Linked DNA regions of Cricetulus griseus. The protein of the gene in region 3 interacts with the protein of the main gene of each other region in a pairwise test. Links are inferred from orthologs where the notes say so. Each region holds a gene or a part of one and is shown on either strand. Other genes may lie near its edges.

Evidence for each region.
Region 1: the proteins of Efs (region 3) and Tssk1b interact in binary tests that used the Homo sapiens proteins (3 or more experiments, as listed by UniProt). The two-hybrid records come from large-scale screens. The link is inferred for Cricetulus griseus from reciprocal best matches to the Homo sapiens genes EFS and TSSK1B.
Region 2: the proteins of Efs (region 3) and Trappc6a interact in binary tests that used the Homo sapiens proteins (3 or more experiments, as listed by UniProt). The two-hybrid records come from large-scale screens. The link is inferred for Cricetulus griseus from reciprocal best matches to the Homo sapiens genes EFS and TRAPPC6A.
Region 4: the proteins of Efs (region 3) and Ostf1 interact in binary tests that used the Homo sapiens proteins (3 or more experiments, as listed by UniProt). The two-hybrid records come from large-scale screens. The link is inferred for Cricetulus griseus from reciprocal best matches to the Homo sapiens genes EFS and OSTF1.
Region 5: the proteins of Efs (region 3) and Sorbs2 interact in binary tests that used the Homo sapiens proteins (3 or more experiments, as listed by UniProt). The two-hybrid records come from large-scale screens. The link is inferred for Cricetulus griseus from reciprocal best matches to the Homo sapiens genes EFS and SORBS2.
Region 6: the proteins of Efs (region 3) and Sh2d3c interact in a two-hybrid assay, tested with the Homo sapiens proteins (2 studies listed by BioGRID and IntAct). The two-hybrid records come from large-scale screens. The link is inferred for Cricetulus griseus from reciprocal best matches to the Homo sapiens genes EFS and SH2D3C.

Annotation. Positions count from the first base shown.
Region 1 is NC_048597.1:71,397,292-71,401,227, forward strand, and holds the start of Tssk1b (testis-specific serine/threonine-protein kinase 1), read right to left. Parts: upstream 2,801-3,936; 5' UTR 599-2,800; coding exon 1-598. Other genes in the region: Dgcr2 (integral membrane protein DGCR2/IDD), read left to right, coding at 3,108-3,186. UniProt on the Homo sapiens protein: Testis-specific serine/threonine-protein kinase required during spermatid development. Phosphorylates 'Ser-288' of TSKS. Involved in the late stages of spermatogenesis, during the reconstruction of the cytoplasm.
Region 2 is NC_048602.1:27,848,320-27,852,582, forward strand, and holds the start of Trappc6a (trafficking protein particle complex subunit 6A), read right to left. Parts: upstream 2,801-4,263; 5' UTR 2,792-2,800; coding exon 2,660-2,791; intron 1-2,659. UniProt on the Homo sapiens protein: May play a role in vesicular transport during the biogenesis of melanosomes.
Region 3 is NW_023276807.1:210,117,069-210,120,455, forward strand, and holds part of Efs (embryonal Fyn-associated substrate), read right to left. Parts: intron 1,419-3,387; coding exon 1,143-1,418; intron 893-1,142; coding exon 752-892; intron 662-751; coding exon 1-661. UniProt on the Homo sapiens protein: Docking protein which plays a central coordinating role for tyrosine-kinase-based signaling related to cell adhesion. May serve as an activator of SRC and a downstream effector. Interacts with the SH3 domain of FYN and with CRK, SRC, and YES.
Region 4 is NC_048596.1:42,587,555-42,591,054, reverse strand, and holds part of Ostf1 (osteoclast-stimulating factor 1), read right to left. Parts: intron 3,380-3,500; coding exon 3,272-3,379; intron 2,584-3,271; coding exon 2,534-2,583; intron 1-2,533.
Region 5 is NW_023276807.1:40,745,006-40,748,505, forward strand, and holds part of Sorbs2 (sorbin and SH3 domain-containing protein 2), read right to left. Parts: intron 2,854-3,500; coding exon 2,666-2,853; intron 902-2,665; coding exon 1-901. UniProt on the Homo sapiens protein: Adapter protein that plays a role in the assembling of signaling complexes, being a link between ABL kinases and actin cytoskeleton. Can form complex with ABL1 and CBL, thus promoting ubiquitination and degradation of ABL1.
Region 6 is NC_048599.1:144,431,401-144,435,343, reverse strand, and holds the start of Sh2d3c (SH2 domain-containing protein 3C), read right to left. Parts: upstream 2,801-3,943; 5' UTR 2,648-2,800; coding exon 2,611-2,647; intron 741-2,610; coding exon 281-740; intron 1-280. UniProt on the Homo sapiens protein: Acts as an adapter protein that mediates cell signaling pathways involved in cellular functions such as cell adhesion and migration, tissue organization, and the regulation of the immune response.

The DNA.
Region 1 (3,936 bases), on a different chromosome or scaffold from region 3:
AGATGTCATACACCTTGGGCTGGTAGGGGATGCCCTGCAGCACCTCGGGGGCTGCATAAGCCGCTGACCCACAGAAGGTCTTACTTAATGTCAGTCGACCACTATCATCCCGCAGGCAGCGCTTGGAGAAGCCGAAGTCAGACAGCTTGATGTTGAAGTCCTTGTCAAGCAGAAGATTCTCGCACTTGAGGTCTCGGTGGACGACATCCAGATCATGGCAGTACTTGATGGCAGAGGAGAGCTGATGGAACTTCTTTCGAGCATCATCCTCTTGCAGGGCTCCTCTAGTTTTGATGAATTCCAGGAGGTCACCCTGGACCCCAAGCTCCATGACAATGTAGACCTTGCCATCTGATGTCTCAAAGATCTCATAGGTCTTGACAATAGAGCGGTGGTTTAGCATGGCCAGGATCTCAATCTCCCGGGGAAGGAATTTCTCCAGGAAGTCCGTGGGGGCTTTCTTGCGATCGATGATCTTGACCGCCACGTTGAACTTTAGGCGCTCAGAGTAGGCGGATTTGACTTTGGCATATGAGCCCTCTCCCAAGTTTATCCCCATGATGTAGCCTCGTCGCTTGAGGACGGCAGCGTCATCCATGGTGCCGGGAGTGCCCAGTGCCTCTGAGGCTGCCCTCTACATCCCTGCCAGACATGGGCCAGCAGCGTCCTCATTTACACTGTGGACAGAGAGTCCTCTGAGCTGGCCAGGCCTGCTGTCCCTGCCTCCTAAGAGGCCAAGACTCGAGCATGGAACACTCAGCACTGTCTCCGGGGGTGACTTCAGTGGGTGAAGTCACAAAGGAGTAGTGCTCTGGGGGAAATGAGGCTATTACCTGAGCCACTTGGACTTAGAACCTGGAAGGTCTGCGCATGTACTGGAGCAAACTAAAAGTGAACAAAAAGGCTTCATGCTTGGCTCCAACCTGAGGTAAGAGAGGGCTGAGACCCAAAGGTCTGCCCACATTTCTAAAACTAAAAACTAAACTGCTATATAGAAACATGGCTCATAATTGCAAACCAGGTCAATCCAGGGGATCCAGGGTGGTGGTTCTATCAGTCAAGGGTCCCGACAGGAAACAGATGGTAGACTCAATTAAGGATAATCAGAAGTCTTGATAAAGGGGTGAAAAACAAAGGTGGGAGCAAAATGTAGGGAATCCTGTAGGTAATGTAGTTCCCTAAGGTAGGAGAAGGCAATGGAGAAGGCCACCCCTTCATGGGCCAGTGATAAGGAAACCATTTGTAACCCCCCCACACACACCACCCCTTTAGCTCTTAATGCTGTCACATAGGCAGCCCTCAAAGGCATAGAATAGGGCCAAGATGGGTGAGGGTTCATCTGTTTTGTTTTGTTTTTGTTTATCGAGACAGGGTTTCTCTATGTAGCTCTGTAGATCAGGCTGGCCTCGAACTTAGAGATCTGCCTGCCTCTGCCTCCTGAGTGCCAGGATTAAAGGTGTGCACCACCAACACCCAGCTGAGGGTTCATCTTTTAAAGGATTATTTTCTTCGGGTCCTTTACCTTCTCTGGCACAGTGTTTGTACGTTTAGGGGTTACCAGTGTGCTTTCATTGTGGGGTTCAGCTGGTCTGTTCACCTCTTGTCCTTCGCTTTTCTCACAAACTTTTCCTGGTCTAACGGTGCTGCAGGTGGACAGTGGGCAGGAATTCTGCACTTGGCTGTGAATTCCCTCCCTAAGGACCTGCCCAACTCATGGCTCTTGCTGGACTCCCAAGGCAGATTTGGTGTGGGGGTTGGTGTGGGGGCAGAAGGCTGGGCCTGGATCTTGTACTGAGTGCTGGGCATGTGTCACCAGGACTGTACAAATGCCAAGGGCAGTGCTGGATAGGTATCTTTGCTTCTGCCAGCAAGGGGCAGGGGCCCCCTCAGTTTTGACCATACCTGTGTCCAACATCTGCCCTGGGCCAAGAAATATGGAAGTTTGAATATCTGATGATTTGTCCTAATCTTGGGTTTGAACTTGACTTTATCCACCTATAAGGAGCCACTCACATGGCTCCAGGTAAAACAGGTTGAAATTCTGGGACTTGTTGGAGGTGTACTAAAGTGAGTCCAGTATGCTGGAGGTGACTGGCTTTCCCCTTTCTCACTTCCTTGCCCGATCATCCACTGCGGGACCTGTACATATGGCCCTTCCCCCAAACAGATAGCTTCTCCATCTGCTGTCACTTCTTACACATTCATGCTGTTCATGAGGACAAGTGTGAGGTGGGCACATGGAGCCTCGTTTCCAGACTGTAGCCTCATCAGTGCCTGGGTTTTTCTCCTTCACTGATAAGACCTTCCCGAGATCTGGTCCAGTGGATCTGGGCTTCTCTGTTTCTGACATTCCTTAGGCCATTTTCCTCCTCTGTTGAAATTTTGTGTGCCTTCTCCATTCTTAGAACATGCCAGCCCTCTAGATTTCTTCACTTTCTTCACAGGGGTTCGGCCTTTAGAAGGCACCTTTAGGACGTGTTAGGCAGGCATTGGGACGGACCTGGGCCTCCTGAGTAAAAATCGTTCGGGTCCCGCGCTGCCTCCTCAGTTCTCTAATCCCAGGTTCCCACTCCAGATAGGGGGCGTACACTGTCGGTCCTTGTGATCCCCAACCAGCACTAGGGACCCCTTTGGCCACCTCGCAGCCTGGGCTCAGTCCCGGAGTCCCGCCTCTCGGCTCAGCCAATGGCATGCTTCATTTCCTATAAGCCCGCCCACTGCCGCTCCGTGCCTCGGCCTGGCCTCTCCAGCCCTCCAGTTCACGCCCCGCCCCGCGTTTGGAGCGCGCCCGTCCTGGCTTCCCTCCGCCCCCTCCGCCCGGCTCGGCGTTCATTGGTTAGTGTGGGCTGGAGGCGGGGTCGCGCGGGCCCGAGCAGGACGGCCGCCATCTTGCGGGAGCCGGAATCCCGTCCCGCTTCTGCGGCCTAGAGTGCGCGCGAGCCGGCGGCGTTCCCTTGCAGCGGCCCAGCGTCGCGGCGGCCCAGCTGGAACCCTCACCCTCAGCCTCTCTGCCCGGCCCGAGTCCGGCCCTCACGCCCTCATCTGGGCTAGGTCCGGCCTCCCCGCGGGGTCACACAGCTGCCCCGGGGACGATGAACGGAGGATAAATGGTGCCCAAGGCAGACAGCGGTGCCTTCCTGCTGCTCTTCCTGCTGGTTCTCACTGTCACCGAGCCGCTGCGGCCAGGTGCGCGGCGCCGGGGGTGGGGGCGCGGTCGGGGTGGGGCTGGGGGCGTCCTTCCACCCGCGGCAGCAGGGCGGCCCCTGCGCCTCGGCAAGGCACTAGCGAGGCCTGGCCGCGGGCCTCTGGGCGTCCCCTGCTCGGGCACAAGTTGGAGTGTACCTGGGTTCGGAGCCTCGAGGATGTCGCCTTTGGACCCACGTCCGTCCAGCGCCGCGCGCTCTGGGAGCCACTGGCCAGGAGCTGCTTCTGGGCTGAGTGGAAATCAGGGGGCTGGGAGCTGCTTGTGGAGGCACCTGGTGTCCCAACTGTCCGCTCAAGTGTGGCTTTGTGCCAGTGTTTCAGCTTTGGACAGCGATGGCTGGTGGCTTATTGCCTCGTAATGAAACGCTGCATCACAGAAGTCTAGCTTGGCTCAAAGGAGGTACTGGGAGTAAACCAAACCTCGTGTGCAGGGGACAGAGTCCTCTCACCGGTGCCCGGCACTTAGTGCTTTGTTTGTGTGGTGTGATTAAATACTTTAGGTACTCCCTTGGAGTTTTGTGTGTGGTGGGGAACCTCAGGTCCCTTTTTCTACCTGTTTCTGATACTCGTGAACTGGGTTAAGAAAACCTAACTGCTCCCCACTCTCCAAAGCAGGGTTGATTTATCCATCAGGCACATGAGTTCCTGTACAGCCTCACTGTCACTTTAGGGATCTGCCATAAAGTTTTATAAATGGCAGGGGTGTCTTTGAACTTTTAGGTGAAAGAGATG
Region 2 (4,263 bases), on a different chromosome or scaffold from region 3:
CTTGCTGCTTCCAAAACAAGGATGTTCTGCCTGCCTCAGGTGCTGTTCTACAACCTGGACACTTAACTTCCACAGATAAACAGTAAAATTCCTCCTGATGAGATGGAGTGTTTGCAACAGCCCAGTCTCTGCCACAGTCTTTGCTTTATTTTGTTGTGCTGAGGATAGATCCCAGCCCCTCACTGGGGGACTCCAGGCAGGGACTCTACCACTGAGCCACACCCCCAGCCCCTCACTGGGGGATTCTAGGCAGGGGCTCTACCACTGAGCCACACCCCCAGCCCCTCACTGGGGGATTCTAGGCAGGGGCTCTACCACTGAGCCACACAGCCCTCACTGGGGGCATTCTAGGGGGGGCTCTACCACTGAGCCACCCCCAGCCCCTCACTGGGGGATTCTAGCAGGGGCTCTACCACTGAGCCACGCCCCCAGCCCCTCACTGGGGGATTCTAGGCAGGGGCTCTACCACTGAGCCACGCCCCCAGTCCCTCACTGGGGAATTCTAGGCTGGGATTCTACCACTGAGCCACGCCCCCAGTCCCTCACTGGGGAATTCTAGGCTGGGATTCTACCACTGAGCCAGAACCCCAGCCTTTTTTGTTTTTCTCGAGACAGGGTTTATGTATGTAGCCCTGGCCTTCCTGGAACTAGCTGTATAGATCAGGCTGGTCTTGAACTCAGAGAGATCCGCCTGCCTCTGCCTCCCAAGTGTTGGGACTAAAGGTGTGCACCACCACAGTCCAGCAATCCCCGTCTTCTTATGGACTGTAAATCCTTCCTAGATGGTTATAAAGCTAATGCAATGTTACTGCTATATAATTATACCATACAGTTTAGGAAATTAAAAAGTTTGTGAATAATCATTACAAATGTAATAAAAAAAAATCTGTTCCTCTGCCTTTAATCCCAGCACTTGGGAGGCAGAAGCAGGCGGATCTCTCTGAGTTCGAGGCCAGCCTGGTTTACACAGTGAGTGCCAGGGCAGCCTCCAAAGCCACAGAGAAACCCTGTCTGGAAGAAAAAGAAAAATGGTGCTTCCAATCCCAGCACCTGGGACGTGTAGGCAGGAGGATCATGTGTCCGAGATTACAACAGGTAAGTGAGAGCCCTTGGCTCTGAGTGCAGCTCTGCGGGATACAGAGGTCAACCGTACCACACAGGGGACACCACGGACACACAGGGCCCAAGTTTGATCTGGGGGTGCATTTCTCAGGTCAGAGAAGGAACAGAGCGAGGACGTTTAGTTTGGAGTCTGCACACCTCTAATCCCAGCACTTTCCAGGCAGAGGCAGGACCAGCCAGTGCCACCCCCAGTGAGGGGCTGGGGGCGTGGCTCAGTGGTAGAGCCCCTGCCTAGAATCCCCCAGTGAGGGGCTGGGGGTGTGGCTCAGTGGTAGAGCCCCTGCCTAGAATCCCCCAGTGAGGGGCTGGGGGTGTGGCTCAGTGGTAGAGCCCCTGCCTAGAATCCCCCAGTGAGGGGCTGGGGGTGTGGCTCAGTGGTAGAGCCCCTGCCTAGAATCCCCCAGTGAGGGGCTGGGGGTGTGGCTCAGTGGTAGAGCCCCTGCCTAGAATCCCCCAGTGAGGGGCTGGGGGTGTGGCTCAGTGGTAGAGCCCCTGCCTAGAATCAGTGGAGAGCCCTGCGATCCCCCAGTGAGGGGCTGGGGTGTGGCTCAGTGGTAGAGCCCCTGCCTGGAGTCCCCCAGTGAGGGCTGGGGTGTGGCTCAGGGGTAGTGCCCCTGCCTAGAATCCCCCAGTGAGGGCTGGGGCGTGGCTCAGTGGTAGAGCCCCTGCCTGGAGTCCCCCAGTGAGGGGCTGGGATCTAGCCTCAGCCTGGGCTACGCAGTGAAAACCTGCCTCACAAACTCACAAACTTCGTGCTCATCAGGGGGAGCAGCGGGCTGTCAGGGAAGCAACAGAAGGGGCAGAGCAGTGCCTACAGCAGGCTTTGAACTCCAGAGGAAGGCGTGACAACCGCCAAGCAGCCAAAGTCAGGGAGGTCCCTGGGACCCCCAACAACTCTATAGTCTCAGCTGTGGGGCCCCAGTAAGGGACCGCTGGGTGGCAGCGGCAAGCTCGCAGCTCTGCAGGCTGGCGGGAAGCTACTTGTAAGCCCTTTACTGAGTCAGAGCAGAGTGCAAGCAGTGGCCACACGGAAGGGTCAGGCTGGCGGCCCCGGGATGGGGCGGACGAGCCACGCGAGTGCGAGCGTGACGCCCAGCGCTGCACCGAGGGACACGTAAGTGGCAGCGACTATTACGGGTTACAATCCTGCAGTGATCCCAGCAACACCCTCCACATCACCGGGTGGGGCCTTTCCTCACTGCTGGGGCCAAATCCTTGCTAAAGGACCCACTGTGTGCTGGGGGTAATGCGGTCCGCACAGACTAATTTACCCCGGGGCACAGGGGCGTCGGGGACGGGTGACAGGGGGACGGTTGGGGTGCATCTCCTAAGGAGGAAACGGAAGCACGGGGAGTCGCCCACAAGCGAGAGGTGAGGCGAGCCCTCGCCCGCCCCTAATAATCGCCAATTACCCTAATTAGCAGCAGGGCCGGGCCCGGCACCATGGCACTCCACCTTAGCAATGCCCGGCCTTGGCCCGGCTGCACCCCACTCCTCCACCGGGAAGTCACCCCCGAGGCCACGCCGTGCCGCTCACCCCCGAGCCAGGGTCTGGGTCCGGGGCCCACAGCTCGGCCACCATCTCGGTGTGCAGAAACTCGAACAGCACCGCGTCCGCCATGCGCCGCCTCGCGCCCCCGCGCTCCCTGGCAACCCCTCCGCTCCCCATTGGTCCGCTCCGGAGGCAGAGCCGAGCTGATTGGTGCTCGGAGGCAGCCCCCGCCCCCGCGCGCTGACGATTGGGGGATACGAGGGAGGGGGCGGGGCCCCGAGTCCCTCCGCCGGCCGCGCACGCTAAACTCACTTCCGCCCTCACTTCGCGTCCCTCGCTCCTTCCGGGTCTTTGCACATTCCCATTGGCCGAGTCTCAGATTCGGGTGACGGTCCTAATTTAAAAACAAAAACAAACAAATAAAAAAATCCCAAGAAACAAACAAAACCATGTGCCCTATAGATTTTTCCAAAATTCACACAAAAAAACGCAACGCGGAAGCGGCTTGTCTAACCGCTTTCCTATTGGCCGGATGTCCACCCACGTGACTCCACGCGGAGTCACTTCCGCCAGGCGACGGGTCCCTCGGTTCGGCGCTCCGGCGATCTGGTAGGGCCCTGCGGGCGTTGATGTCCTTCCCCTTTGGTGTCCCCCTGGGCGGCCGTCCTTTCGGGTGAACGCCTGGCGTCTGTGCGGCCCGCGAGCTGGCCTGGGCGAGCTGGCCTGGGGGACGGGCAGGGTGCGGTTTGTGCTGGGGGACTCCGGGAACTCTCGGTTTCAGGGTCTCACTGCGTAGACCAGGCTGGCCCCGAACTCACAGAGATCCTCCTGCCTCTGCCTCCCGAGTGCTGGGATCAAAGGCGCCATTATTTTAATATTTAATATTTTAATTTATAATATTTTATTTATTTATTATGTATACAACATGCTACTTCCATGTATATCTGCACACCAGAAGAGGGCACCAGATCTCATAACGGATGGCTGTGAGCCACCGTGTGGTTGCTGGGAATTGAACTCAGGACCTCTGGAAGAGCAGCCGGTGCTCTTAACCTCTGAGCCATCCCTCCAGCCCCTATTATTATTATTAATTTTTTTGAGACAGTCTTTCTCTGTGGCTTTGGAGGCTGTCCTGCAACTCACTGTATAGACCAGGCTGGTCTCTAACTCACAGTGATCCTCCTGCCTCTGCCTCCAGAGCGCCCGTTGTTTTGTTTTTTGTTTTTCAAGATAGGGTTTCTCTGTGTAGCCCTGGCTGTCCCGCAACTAACTCACTTTGTAGACCAGGCTGGCCTCAAATTCAGAGATGCACCTGCCTCTGCCTTCAGAGTGCTGGGATTAAAGGTGTGCACTTGGGTAATTTTTTTTTTTTTTTTTTTTTTTTTTTTTGGTTTTTCGAGACAGGGTTTCTCTGTGTAGCTTTGGAGCCTATCCTGGCACTCGCTCTGGAGACCAGGCTGGCCTCGAACTCACAGAGATCCGCCTACCTCTGCCTCCCGAGTGCTGGGACTAAAGGTGTGCGCCATCAGCGCCGGGCGTTCTTGCTTTATATTGACTGATTTATTTATTTATCGTGTGCGTCTGCGCACTCGGATGTCACTGGACAACTTGTGGAACCCGCGGCGCCGGGCGTGGCTGCAGCAGCTTTG
Region 3 (3,387 bases):
GGTCCGCTGAGTCATCGTCTACCTCCCTGCACTCTGGATCTCCCTCGGGTTTGAGGCCCCCATAACCAGGCAGGCAGGGTGGGGGAGGGGGTAGAGGCCTGTCCTGGATGCTGCCCTTTCGACCTGGGGCAGGAGACGGAGCTGGGGAAGGGGTGGGAGCCTCAGAGACAGGCAAGGCAGGCAGAGGGCGGCGGGACAGGCTCTCGGTGGAGGGCAGCCGAGGCCTGTGCTGGAGTGGAGGGCTTTTGGTCAGAAGCTGGGCCACAGTGTCCAGGTCAGCGGAGGAAGAAGCTCCTGGGGACTCTGGAGATGGTGACTCTGGTCCCAGCAGAGGCACGTCATAGATGCCTTCATCTGAGTCCCTGCTTTCCCCATTTGCCAGTAGTTCCTCGGGGGCTTCATACAGGTTGAGGAGAGCTGAGGCCCGTTTCAGGTTCGAAGGGGCAGAATAGAGGGGAGGCCCTGGTTCCCGGCCCCCTTCCCACTCCAGATCTGGCTCCAGCTCGGCAGATGGCTTCAAGGCCAAAGGCACATCGTAGGGAGCTTCATCCTCTCCAGGGGGTTGAGGGACAGCTGGAGCCAGAGGACAGGAGAAGGAAGCTGGGGAGTCATAGGGACAGCTGGAGGGAGCCCGGAGGATGCTGGGAGGCACATCATAGACCTGGAGGGAGGGACCAGGGTTAGCCTCCAGCTCAGCAGCAGACCACCCCTGAGAATTCAGGCTCTCACCCAACACACACAGAGCTCTAACCTCTAACACATCTCTGGGGGCAGTTAGCTGTGTCCCATTGACTCTGGGGACCTTGTAGATGGAGTCAGGAGAGGATGAGCACGATCTAGCTAGAGGTCCTGAGGCAGGGCAGGGTCGAGCTGGTGGTGGTACCACATACACCTAGGGATGAAGAGGTGGAAATGTCAGCAGTGGAATTCATTGACACAGGTGCAACTTCAGGAGCTTAAGCACTGTAGTCTGCTCCCTCCACACTCCCTGTGCTGAGCTCAGGAGTAGGGGGCAGACACACATCTGTCATCACTCAGTGAAAGGACAAGGTCTCAGCCAAGACCTCCCTGACACCCATCCCCAGGCCCTGGAGGGGGCAAAGACGGCCAGGCCTGAGATGATGAGGGGCTCCAGTTCTTACCTCTTGCTCCTCACTGCCATGCTCTGGGGTGGGACATGAGCCAGGTTGGGTGGGAGATGCTGAGGTGAGACTTGGCTTGGGTGCTGGACCAGCAGGAAGGAGCTTCACTCGGTTAGCAGGCACAATACCCTGCTGGCCATGCAGGGAGCAAAGGCACCAGCCATCCAGTCCACCGGCACCCTCCCTCTGCAGTACCCGTAGAACATCCCCTCTGCGGAACGACAGCTCCTGGGGGGACTCTGCAGTGTTATCGTAGAGTGCCCTGGCAAGCTGGGCCTGGTAGGGAAGTTAGGAGAGAAGAGGTCACACACAAGGTCACGTAGAGACTAGACCAGTCTCCCATTCCATTCAAGCTGCTTCCGATTAGGCTCTACCATGTCATCATCACGGAAGGCCCATTCCCCTTCCTCCTCATTCTTTGACCTAATTCTTTCCCATCTCGGTGCCTTTGCACTTATATTTCCTCTACTCCAAGCATTCTTGGATCTATCTGACTGATCCTTTTACATCCTTCAGTTCCGCATCTGTAGCCACCTCTGTTCCCTTCACAACACTACCTACCCACTCAGAACTGGTCCTCAATACACAACTGCTAAATGAATTTCTTCAGAACACATGAAGAGATCTCTCTAGGGTCCCCCACAGAATTTCTTTTGAGTCCCCCGCCCAATCCCCCAGTGATTACTCCTCCAAGTGAACGGTTTGATAAGCAACGATAGAGACCCATCTTCCTGCGAGAGCCTGGAAGAGTCTCATTTAGGAGTGTGAAGGCATACTTGAGAAAGCAAAAGACAGAGCCATAGCTTTTCCTAGCCTGAACAAGTACAGTTCTACCAGAAGCAGCATAAGTATATCTATTTCCAGGCCTGTCCAGTGGGAACCTAAGCTTTTCAGGGAGGGCCATGAGCTCAGGTACCAACTCACAAAACTCAAAGTGCCAGGGACTGTTTAAGTGTTTACATTGAATCTAATTCTCACAATCTCCATCGTAGAAGGAAAACTGGGGCACATGTGCTTGGTCCGGCGACATGCAGTTGATGTAGCTGGCAGAAAACGCACTGGTATCAACGCCCATACTCTCTACTGCCCCTCTACAACCACAGGTGTGATTGTCTTTCAACAGTTATGTACTTTGTTTGTGTGTATGTGTGCCAGAGGTCAGAGGACAACTTGCAGGAGTCAGTTCTCTCCTCCCACCATGTGGGCTCTGGGGATTGAACTCAGGTCATCAGACTTGGCAGCAAGTGCCTTTACCTACTAAGCCATCTCACCAGCCCTGCTTTTTTCTTTTAGTTTAAGGTGTTTTTTTAATTTTAAGCACAGCAGTAGAGAGGGACAGTGACTCCAAGGTGAGTAAGGTATGTATATAGGCTCCTTCTAGCTCCTCTTAGTGCTCTTGTTCCAGTTCCATAAGGTCCTTTAGTAGAACTAACCTTTCTCCTCTCAGACTATCCAGCACATTCAGCTTTCATTGTGATGGCTAGAGGACTGACTGCCAGTAGGATCCCAGGCAATGTGGCTTACCCAGAGACATTGGAGAACAGTCAGTTAGACACTGCTGGCCAGGTAGCCCCATGGACTCTCTAATTCAGTTACAAGTCTCCAGGCAGGGGCAAAAGGGAAGGCTCAGTGGTTAAAAGTGGACACTAATCTTCCAGAGGATCCAGGTGTGGTCCTCAGCAGCCACACTGCCTTACTCACAACTGCATTTAAGTGTAGTTCCAGGGGATCCAATGCCTCTAGCCACTGTGGGCACCTGCACTTGTGTATATAGCCACACACATACATAATTTAGATAAGTAAGTGAAAAATATTTAGTTAAACTGAGTCTGGTGATAGAGGCCTCCAATCTCAGCTACCTGGGAGGCTGAAGCAATCCTCCAGTTGAAAGTTGGAGGCCAGACTGGGCAACTTAGTAAGATCCTATCTCAAAATGAAAAATAAAAAGAAGGCTGGGGACTGGGAATGTAACTCAGTTGGTGGAGCAATTCCCTTAGCATACATAAAGTCTTGGAGTTATATTTAGCGTCTGGGGTTGTGGTGGCACACACCAGGTATCCCTGCACCTGGGAAGTGGAGGTAGGAGGATCAGGGGTTTAAGGCCAGCCTGAGCTAAATAATGCTTTGCCTCAAAACAAAACAAACGAACAAAAAACTCAAACAAAAAACCTACTGAGTATGTGAACATGTAGCTCAGCGACAGAACACTTCCCTAGAATGTTTGAGGCTTTGGGTTCAATCTCTA
Region 4 (3,500 bases), on a different chromosome or scaffold from region 3:
GCTGCTCTGGCAGGGATGGGGGAAGAAAACTAACATGGCAGAGCAAGGCCTCAACAGGAAATGAGGAGACCCAGCAACAGTCAGGAACTGAACATTCCTAGAGGTACTGGGCAAGAATGAGGCATGGAGAGGAAATAGGAGTGGCCAAATGGATTAACACAACATCATTGGAACCCCTGGACCAGTCACTGGCAGATGTCCCACTAACAGCAGTAGAATTACCTTGCTGAGAAATTACCCGAGTTCCCCAGCTCATGCACAATGGTATGAGAGAAGGTGACAAGAGCCAGTCAGATGAAAACCTATAAGATGAACTGTAAGATCTTTCACTCCGCTACTTTTAATCACCTCTTTGCCCAGGGAGTGGAGTGAAAGGTGGTGACTTAGGCCAGGAGAGTGCAGATCACCTCTGCCAAACAGTATGGCCCCTCCGTAGGGGGAGGTGTGGCATTTATGTCAGCATACTCAATACAGGAGGGACCTCATCATGTCCATCAAGAAGCACCCTCCCCTGCCACCAAGTGCACATAGCTTCCAATCACACAGATAAATAGATGAACCAAAACACTGGGTGTTTGAAAACAGCTTAAGTGTTTGAATAGAGGTCAGCTTAAATGAAAGAAAAGGCTCTGGGAGAGAAGAGAACATTTTTTAAAGTAATAATATATCAGTCATATAAGGTGGTACTATAATCAAACAAGAAAAAGACACCATTAAAAGAGTAAAATAAGAGCTTGTGGTCAACAAACTTCTCAGATAACCCCAATAATACCTGCTCTCCCTTGTCCCCCAAGAGACCCTATATACAACTCTCTTGTCCTCAAGTGTGGGTGAAGTCAGAGAATACAAAGGCATCACTCCTCTTGGCTGGACACTGCAGTGCATTCCTTTAATCCTAGCACTCAGAAGACAGAGATAGGTGGATCTCTGTGAGTTCAAGTCTATCCTGGTCTACACAGCAAGTTTAAGGCCAGCCTGGGATACACAGTAAGACCTCATATTCAAAAATAAGAAGCCCATCACTTTGCAGACAATATGTATTGGGTTCACTAAAAGGGAGGTTATTCTGGGTAGGCCACATCTAGTCAGGAAGGCTTTTAAAAACAAAAGTTAAATGGTAGAGCAAACACCACCACCTACTAGCCATGAGGAGGACAGCAAACACTCATTTTGTAAACTCTTAATTAATAGAAGAATGGGGCATCCAAAAGCTGAGGGCATCAGTACTAGGGGGCAAAAAGCTCAAATCTCAGCAACTGCAATGAGCTTAGAAGAGAATCTCAAGCTTTCCAAGAACCCAGGTCCAATGGAACCTGGGCTTTACAGTGTGAGATCCTAAATCTTGTGATGTCATGCTCAGAATTCCAACCCACCCAATACACATTGTGAAACCTGGGATAATTTGATACATAGCAATAGAAAATGAATATAGAACTTTGAGGCAATTAAAATAAAGTTGGGGCTGCAGAGATGGCTCTGTGATTAAGAGCACTCAATGGCTGCTCTTCCAGAGGACTCAAGTTCAATTCCCAGCAACCACATGGAAGCTTACAATTGTCTTCAACTCTAGTCCCTGGGAAATCTGATGCCCTCTTCTGGCCTTCATTGGTACTACATGCATGTGGTGAATATAAAAGCAAGCAAAACATTGTATGTATATACATAGATAATTTTTAAAAACCTTTAAAAAGGAAATCATTTTAAAATGATAAAGGCCAAGAAATCCCTAATTTAAAAAAAGAAAATATGAGGTTCAATCTGTAGAATCAAAAGAACAGAGAAAATGATTAGATGTAGAAAAGGAAACAAGACAATTTCTCAGACTAAAAGACTTTGTGGTACTCACTAGGGAAAAATAGCACTAAGGCACACCCTTGTAAGTTTTCAGAATACCAAAGACAAAGACTCCAATAAGAAAAAGACAGGTTACAAGCAGAAGCTTGCAAACTGCCAGAACTAGAAGTAATGGGAGTTTGTCTCCTAAGGCTCACATTTGGGAGTCTGGGTAAGAGAGGAGCCCTTAGAAGAAGGGTCCTTGGTGCAGTTTGGATCTTAAGAGTCCCCAGAGATTCGTGGCATGCTGCTATTCAGAGGGGGGTGGTAAAGTCTTGGGGAGAGGGGTGAGTGGAAAACCTTCATACCCTGGGGTGTGTGCTTAATGGGGTGGTGAGATTGTTCACTGGAGATGCAGCCAGCCAGCCGATTGGCACCACCACATGCTCGCTCACCTTGGTACCAGCCCAAGAGCAATGGGGTAACCTGATGGTGGAACAGCACTTCCCAAACTGGTACAGACAGAAACCTTTTCTCTCTGTAAGCTGATTATCTCTAGCATGTGTTCTAGGACCAGAGAATAGCACTTAAGGATGGAGGATGTAGCTCTTGACACACAGCTGAACAGTGTGAGGACTTGGCTTCAGACCCCAGTACCACAACACAAAACAACAGTCACAGCAACAAAACTCTGTGTGCTTGTAGCATTAGAGAAAGAGCTGGGTGTGCTAAATGTGTTCCCCATGATAAGCAGGCTCACCTGCTGGTTCAGCTCCACGTTTGGCTGAGTAAACAGAACCTCCACTATGTCTGCAATTCAAACAGAAAAAGGAGTTTCTTAAGACAGAAACAGTGAACTTTGTAAAAGCAGATAGCATAATTGCAAAAGATAATACTTGTTAGGAGAATGTTCTAGAAAATGCTTACAAGTTTCTCAAATTTTATATTAAAAACTAAACAAAAACCCTAAATGATAGATCACAAAAGAAAATTTTCAGACCTGAAGGTATAGCTCAGTTGGTGAAAAGGAGTGGATGGTGGGGTTTGGACTACAATGAAGTAAACAGAATTCACCTTGCAATTATTACTGTTTGCAAGAGAACTGCAAACTTAAGCCAGTGTGGTACTTCTTAATTTTTTTCATTAAACTTAAACTTAAAATGTAGGACCAAAAGCATAGCTAGGGAAAAGCTACAGGAGCCAACTGGGCCTTCCTCTGTGGCATGTGGCAGTGGGTTTGTTATCCTGTTACTGGCATTTTTCTGATACATTCTGAAGCCTGAGAGAGGAAAGGAAATTCCCAGCCTTTCCAGAGGTCTGCACAGTGGGTCTCCTCAGTCACATTCCATCCTCACTGCTCTGCAGTTTCCAGAAACACAGCTTTTGGCGGACTTTGGAGGATCTGCAGCATTGCTTTTACCATGATAAGAAAGGAGGCTCCCTTGGGTGAAGGTGATTCTGAACAGCACAGACACATGTATCTAGCAAGATGCAGTACCTTTGTGGCCCCCGTGGCAGGCCCAGTACAGGGCTGTGCTTCCAGCTTTGTCCAGGCCGTTTACACCCACTCGGTTGTCCAAGCACTCTCTCAACCAGCTCAAGTTGCCTGAAAGAATTTTACACTTATAAAAAACACAAGAAAATGGCTTTTACTCCTTGTTTTGCTTTTAAATCAATTTCATCACTGTAAGCTCCATTTGTGATGCATTAATCAGCAAATCCTAAAA
Region 5 (3,500 bases), about 170 Mb from region 3:
CTGTGGTCAGACACAACTCCATCTTGGTCACTGTCGGAAAACTCTATGTGTGTTCTGGGATGCTCGTCACTGGTGACTTCGATGTGGATGGGCACTAGAGTTTTAGACTTGCAGTTTCGCTGACCCTGAGAAGGCTGTCTACCCTGAGTTTCTTCCTCCAGCAGAGACTCAATAGAAAACCGCCTCTTGGGACACAGACCATTTTGTTGGGGTTCTAGGGTTACAGGAGACAACATCTCATCCCCTAGATTGGGCATGGACTTCGACTTCTGTATCAGCTTTTCAAATTCCGAAATGCGGGTGGGTACCATGTCCCTGGGCACCTCCTCGGTGGAAGACTGGCTCCATCCATGGAGCAGACCCCTGTGCTGCTGTTCCTTTTCATACTGCAGTATCCTGGACTTCACAGAGCAAATTACCTCTGAATTCATCAAATCCTTGCGGTTGATGCGATGCATTTTCTTGTACATTTTGAGGAAGCCTGGGGCATTATGGGCAGACCTGTGTTTGATTCTAGATCTGCTGTTACCGCACACTTCCTGGATGTACGGGGAAGTCCACATCATGGGGCAGCCCTCTTTGGAGTCTTCTTCGCATAACAGAGAACCCATACTTTCTGACTTGGCTTTAGGGTCTGGGAAGCTGTCGCAGTCGTCATTCAGGAGATCATCACAGCTACGTGATTTGATTTTGGGGGACACAGTCTCTTCGGTGCTGCTCCAGATCTCTGCATTTTGCCGGGCCATTTGCCATCCATTCTTGAAGGTGATGGCCCTTTGAGAATCCCGGGGGACATCCAAATGCTGTCTATAGGCACCACAGTACTCTAACTCACTAGAGGGGGCGCCATTAAGCCCCGAGTAACTGCAAAGGGATGGACACATTTTGCTATCATCCCCACCTTTCAATCCAGAGCAGCATGGCAGGAGAGAGACATTTGGAGAAGTTAAAAGGTTCACAAAGTGAGGAAAGCATGTCAGTATTAGCACAGCAAAGAGAAGACAGTTAGCATGGCTTCTAGGTACCTTCACACACACAGCTTCAATTAAAGAGGAATGCCTGATGCTAAAACACGATAATATTTTTCAGCGCAGCTTTGCAGATACTACAGTAAACCAAATCACACATGAAATACACTTGGTGTAGCTAACACATTCCTACTGCATAATTCGATGGTCTTTTGTTCAACAAGACATTCCCAAACCACAACTCTTCTCTATTAAGCTAACAGTGTGGCTATCTCTATCACCAATTTATGAATTGCAACCTCCCCTGAATTCTTCAATTTATAATGCTTGGGAAAGGAACTTGACTTGACTCTCTATGGTAAAAAAATACTTAAACTTATCAGGATCCTTTTCCATTTTGTATCGTATCCAAGAATGATGGATCCATAGCATTTCATGACTGACTTGTCACTTATGATATTTGCTGTGTAGATGAGTAGAATATGATATGATGAAGGCATGTTAGGTAATGAGCAAGTTACTTTCTGAGACTTAGTTAGGTTTTAGGCCACCCAGCTGTCCACCTACACAGAGACCAGTCATCACAGTCTTCTGCAAACTAGCTACTGCTTCACTTTAGCCACTGTATGGCAACAGGGTTAGTGCGGACTATTGTTAGATGTCCCCACTCTGTCCTACTTCACAGACACTTCTATTATAACTCATTTTCTTTACATGTTTTGAAAACCTATTCTCTTCTATTTTAACTTTCAAAGACTACAGGAGATTATGGGGCCCCAAATTTGGCATGCTACTGAGTCAATAGATCATGGTTCAAAAGAAAAAAAAAAAGACATAAGTAAACTAACAGAGACCCAAATGAGCAACTCTGTCCCTTTGATGCTTAGCTTACTGCATTTCCAAAGAGGAGAAGGCCATCTGAAAAAGTGGTTGGACTTCCTTCCTTCTTTCCTTCATCTTTCTCTCTCTCATGTATGTGTACATTTCAGTAGAGGTCAGAAGACAACTTGTGGGGTTATGTTCTCTTTCACTATATGAGTACTGGTGATTACACTCAGGTTGACCAGCTTGGTGGCAAGGGCCTTTTACCTACTGAGTCATCTCATTAAGGCCTCTCATTTCTAAATTTTGTATTTGTGGCTTCAAGCCAGTATGTATTTATTGTAAACTATTGTGGACCACTGTATTGCATAGTAGAATGTGATACTCTATCATACAAATAAAGGTTGAACAAAATAGAGTAAATGACTAAAGGCATGCCTTAAATAAATTACATTCTAATCCAGAATTTAAAGTACCCCATTGCATGTTTTTCAGTTGCTATTTATACTTCTTATTTTACAAATTTAATTAGTTATCTATAATAACATTAGAAAATTTGCCTACCTAAAAGACTATAAATGCATTTCTATACAAATGACAAATAAATTATTTAATACTTTGAGTTTTAAAAAATAATAAATTCAACATATTTTTGAGAAAATGGTAACAAATGTTAATCTGAGTTCTTTATGACACTCAAATGGTTTGCCAGCTTAAATTGGATTAGGTAGAAGCAAAGGCTTTGCTGGGAGATGGTATTTGCTTCAGGACGCTACAAGAAAAACAAGTGTAAGTCACAATCATAGGATTGGCCCTCTCCCATACTCTGGGCTAAATTGTGAACTAGCAAGCTTTGTTCATTTATTGTGGCTCACCTTGGGCTCTTGATGGAGAGGAAGGAGAAGAACTAATGAAAGACTTCGTAAATGTGGAGCTTGATCCTGGGAGGTCTGCCTGGCCCGGGCTGGTCCTGTTCACACTCTGATCCCCCAAACCTCTGGGTGGGCCCACTGCAGGTTCACTTTTCCTCCGTTTCCTAAAATCACCAGCCATGCTTGCAGAACTGACAGAGGGAATCAGTGTCACTTTGATGGGGCTTGGAAGAGGTTAATACATGTGCAAGAAACTAGATAAAGGCTTAACACCTAACCTACTCACAAAGTTGCATGGTGAGAAATTTATTCCTTCACATTTAAAAACTTTCTTTATATTCATTTTTAAAAATATATTTAACTTCATTTTTAAAGGGAAGTTTCAAGTTAAAGAATATCTGACTGGACTGTATAGGCTCTTCATATCTGTAGGTTCAACTGACTGTGCACTGGAAATATTAAGAATTGGATTGCTACTGAACATGTGCAAACTTGTGTTTTTATTCCCCACGTGATCCATTATAATAACCACTTATGTAACATTTACTCATTTTTATTTATGTGTATGAGTGTTTTGCCTGTATATATGTCTGCATACCGTACCAAGTGCCTGGTGCCCATGGAGGACAGATGAAGGCATAGGATCCCCTGGAACTACAGTTACAGATGGTTGCGAACTGTCATGGGGACTGAACCTGGAGTTTCTTCAAGAACAGCAATTGCTCTTATCCACTGAGCCCTTTCTCTAATCCTAACAGCTCTTTTAAATAACATTTGTGTTTCATGAGGCATTGTACATATTTCAGAGTATATAGGAGGCCACAGGTAGGTTATATGT
Region 6 (3,943 bases), on a different chromosome or scaffold from region 3:
CCTGATCTATATACCTAACCCACTTGCCACTTACTCGCTTTATTTCCTTATTTTGTTTTGTGTTTTGTTCATTTTGTTTTGTGAGAGGTCTCATTCTGTAGTCCAGATTGACCTCTCAAATTCACAGCAAGCCTCCAGCCTCAGCTACCTCATTGCTGGGATTGCAGGATGCACCACTTACAGTTTCAGGCCAGACGTTTGTGTTGAAGCTGTACCAACTAGAGAGGGCTAGAAACCCATCTGCACATTTTCTGCCTTCCCTATCCCTGATGGCACCTACCTTTCTGGGTACACATCCCCAGGAATTTGTTCCTCCTTTGTGTCTACTCTGGGTTCCTCGGGCTTCCTCAGAGGGTCCACTTCTACTGCTGAAGGTGTAGGTCCCACTCCTGGGGTGTCCTCCAGTGGGGCATCCTTTCTCTCCACTGCCTCCTTGGCTGCCTCTAAGCCTTGAGGCACCAGGTGGGACTGAAGGCTGACCTCTTGGGCCTTCTGGGCAGCCTGTTGTTGCCGAACCTTCTTGATGTTAGGTCGAGGCATGGTACCCATGTGGCTGTACATGTCACTGGAACGAGCATAGGCAGGAGGACTCTTGGGGACTGTCACCATGTCATCCTGTGTGGCTTCAAAGGTGTCAGGCTCCAGATAAGATCGGATACTAATGGAGGCTGAAGACCGTCTCAAAGAAAAGGACCGAGGGAGATTGGAAAGGCTTCCAAGACCCTTGAACTTGAAAAACTCTGGCAAGAGAGGAGGAGAGGAAAAAGGATTAATGACAGTGTCAGCAGGTAGTAACAATGAGAACCACCACAGGTCCCTCAGTGAGGGTACAAAGAAGGTTCAAGGACAGCACCTCACCTAGACAGGGTTTCTCTGTGTAGCTCTGGCTGTCCTGGAACTCACTCATTAGACCAGGCTGGCCTCAAACTCACAGAGATCCATCTGCCTCTGCCTCCTGAGTGCTGTGATTGTGGTGTGCACCACCACTGTCTGACGATATAATTTTTAATACAATGTTTTAAAGAAATCTGTTTTAGCCGGACGTTGGTGGCAAACGCCTTTGATTACAGCACTCGGGAGGCAGAGGCAGGAGGATCTCTGTGAGTTCGAGGCCAGCCTGGTCTCCAGAGCAAGTGCCAGGATAGGCTCCAAAGCTACACAGAGAAACCCTATCTCGGGAAAAAACAACAACAACAACAACAACAACAACAACAACAACAAAACAAAAAACAGAGGGGTAGAGGGTAAGGAGTGGTGTCCAAGGCAGCCTCTGGCACCTGGGTTGAAAGGATATAGGTGCAGCAGCCAGCCTGAGGATTGCTGGTCCCTATCTATGGGTGTTTTTTGCCTCCATGGGCTGAGCCCATGTTCCAAACTCCACAGGCAGGGATCCTGTCATAGCGTCTTCCATCAAGGACGGAAGTATATTCTGTCTGATCACTCCTCCCTACATCACCCCCAGACTGTGGGACTGTCCCTTCTCACAGTGCTATCTTCTGACTTCTGTAGGGCCTTCAAATGAGATGAGCAAAAGGGGGAAACACTGACATTTCTACTTCCCTGGCCTCCTCTGCATCCTTCTCTGCATCATACACCCAATGGAATATAAGCATCATGCCCACATTTGACACAGACAGAATCCATGGCCCAGAGAGGGGGAAGGGATGTGCACAGTGAGAATGGGGCTGAGCCTGGGTGGAAGCTCTGGGCTCAGGACCTGGGAATTTTTTCCTGCCCATTCCCCTTGATCCTAGTCCAGACAGGGCTGGCTACTGCCCTGCTTCTAGAAAGGCTGCCCTGGGACAGAGGTTTCACTAGTATTTAGCAGAAGGGCCACTGATTGCCTCCTCTTTCAGTAGTACAGATTTTGTTTTGTTTTGTTGTTTATTTGAGAAAGTGTCTCACTCTGTAGTCAGGTTCTGCTCATGAGCCTCCTGCCTCTGCTTTCTGATTGCTGGGATTACAGAGGTGTGTATCTCCATCTGTGAGATACAGTACCGGCTCTCTCTCTCTCTCTCTCTCTCTCTCTCTCTCTCTCTCTCTCTCTCTCTCTCTCTCTCTCTCTCTCTCTCTCTCTCTCTCACACACACACACACACACACACACAGGAAGGACAGCGGAGTCAAAGAACAGAAGTTTGGGGCCCCAAAATGAATAGACCCGGAGAAAGAAATAGCAGTGAATGGCATAGTTCACCCAGTAGCTCCCAGCCTCGCTACTGGTAGGGACATATGACAGCATCCATCATCCTCTAGCTCCTTAGAGATCTCCCTGAGATCTGGTGTTGAGCTGGGTTCCAGACAAATTAGGGTATGTGGGGGTCTCTCCCCACACAGCTTCAAGGTCAGAGAGAGGCCAGGATGCCAGTGATGTGAAGGCTGAGAGGCTGGGTGTAGCAAGAGAGAAGCAGAGGTGGAGGAGAGAGAGGGAAAGACAGAAATGAAAAGACGGAGATGGAGAGACACCCTGGGCCATAAGTGGACAGTAACACTCTGGGGAGAGATAGAGAGATGGTCAGAAAGAGAAAGAGAAACAAGGAAACAATGGTGAGAAGCAGATGCAGAGGGGCCAAGCTAAAAGGAGAGAGGAGGGTGGACAGTCTGTACTCACTGAACTTTTTGCCGGTTTTCTTGGGCATCTCTGTCATGTTGTCAAGTTGTGCAAAGCCCCTGTCTTGCTAGCATGTGGCTGCTCCAGGCTCAAGACATCAAGGTTGAAGGGCCTCCCCGCCACCCCTTCCCCTTTCTCTTGCCCTCTCAACTTGCTTCCTCTGTGTATTTTTAAACTAGTGAAACTCCCACAGCCCCACCCTCCCACCCTCTCCACAGGGGGCGGGGGCTGGGGCCTCCCCAGTCCAGCCCCTGAGGGCCTCCTCAGCCAGCAGCAGGGGCAGGGGGCACTCCACAAACCCATGGGACCTGGAAAGCCTGAGGAGCAAACCACAGGCTCTGGGAACAGAGCCCACTAGGCTGGGGGCCACAGGGGACCTGCCAACAGCTGTCAGGGGGGCTGGCTCATAGGATGGGAATCAAGGAGACAGGCCCAGGATTGGGTAGTGTATTCTAAGGCCCAGTACCCAGGCAATGCACTGGCAGTGATAAAGATTATGCTGGAGGTAGGCCTGTGGGCTGGGGTCATTCACTTTTGATTGGCTACTTTGTCACTGCGTGATCATGGGTGAGATGATTCATCTGCTTGAGTGTCAGTTTCCTCTTGGTGAGCAGGACGTGCCAACCTCACGGTGGCCAGAGCAGCAGACAGATCCAAGCATGATTGTCCCTGTCCGAGTTAGCAGGCACGTGTGAGGGCAGGTCTTCCCTGCCCTTTGGACAGAGACAGGAAAACTGAGGCACAGAGAGGCAAGGAGATTACACAGGTCACAGAGAGAGTTGGTGGCACACACTGGGTCACAATTTGTCCTTCCAATAATATACAGGCTGGTGCCCTGCAAACACAAATAAGTGTTTGTGTGTGTGTGTGTGTGTGTGTGTGTGTGTGTGTGTGTGTGTAGGAGTGTGTGTGAGTGTATCTGAGTGTGTGTCTGTATGTGTATGTGTGTGGGTGTGTATGTGTGTCTGTATATGAGTATGTGTCTGTGTGTGTCTGAATGTGTATGAGTATGTATGTGTATGAGTGTGTCCAAGTGTGTATGAGTATATATGTGTCTGTATCTGAGTGTGTCTGTGTGTGTGTGTGTGTGTGTGTGTGTGTGTGTGTATCTGAATGTGTATGAGTTTGTGTGTTTTCTGTGCCCACAAAGTACAGATATAAGGAAATGAAACCCCCATGTACAGCTGTAGTGGAGGGTGGTAGCAGGTGTTAAGACTGGAGAGCTACAAGGTCAGTCCAGTTCTGAGTGACATCACCTCTCTAGCCTCTGTGCCAATAGTGACAAGGACGATGCCATGTGCAGCCATCCTCTAGAGATTCTGCTTCCCTCGTT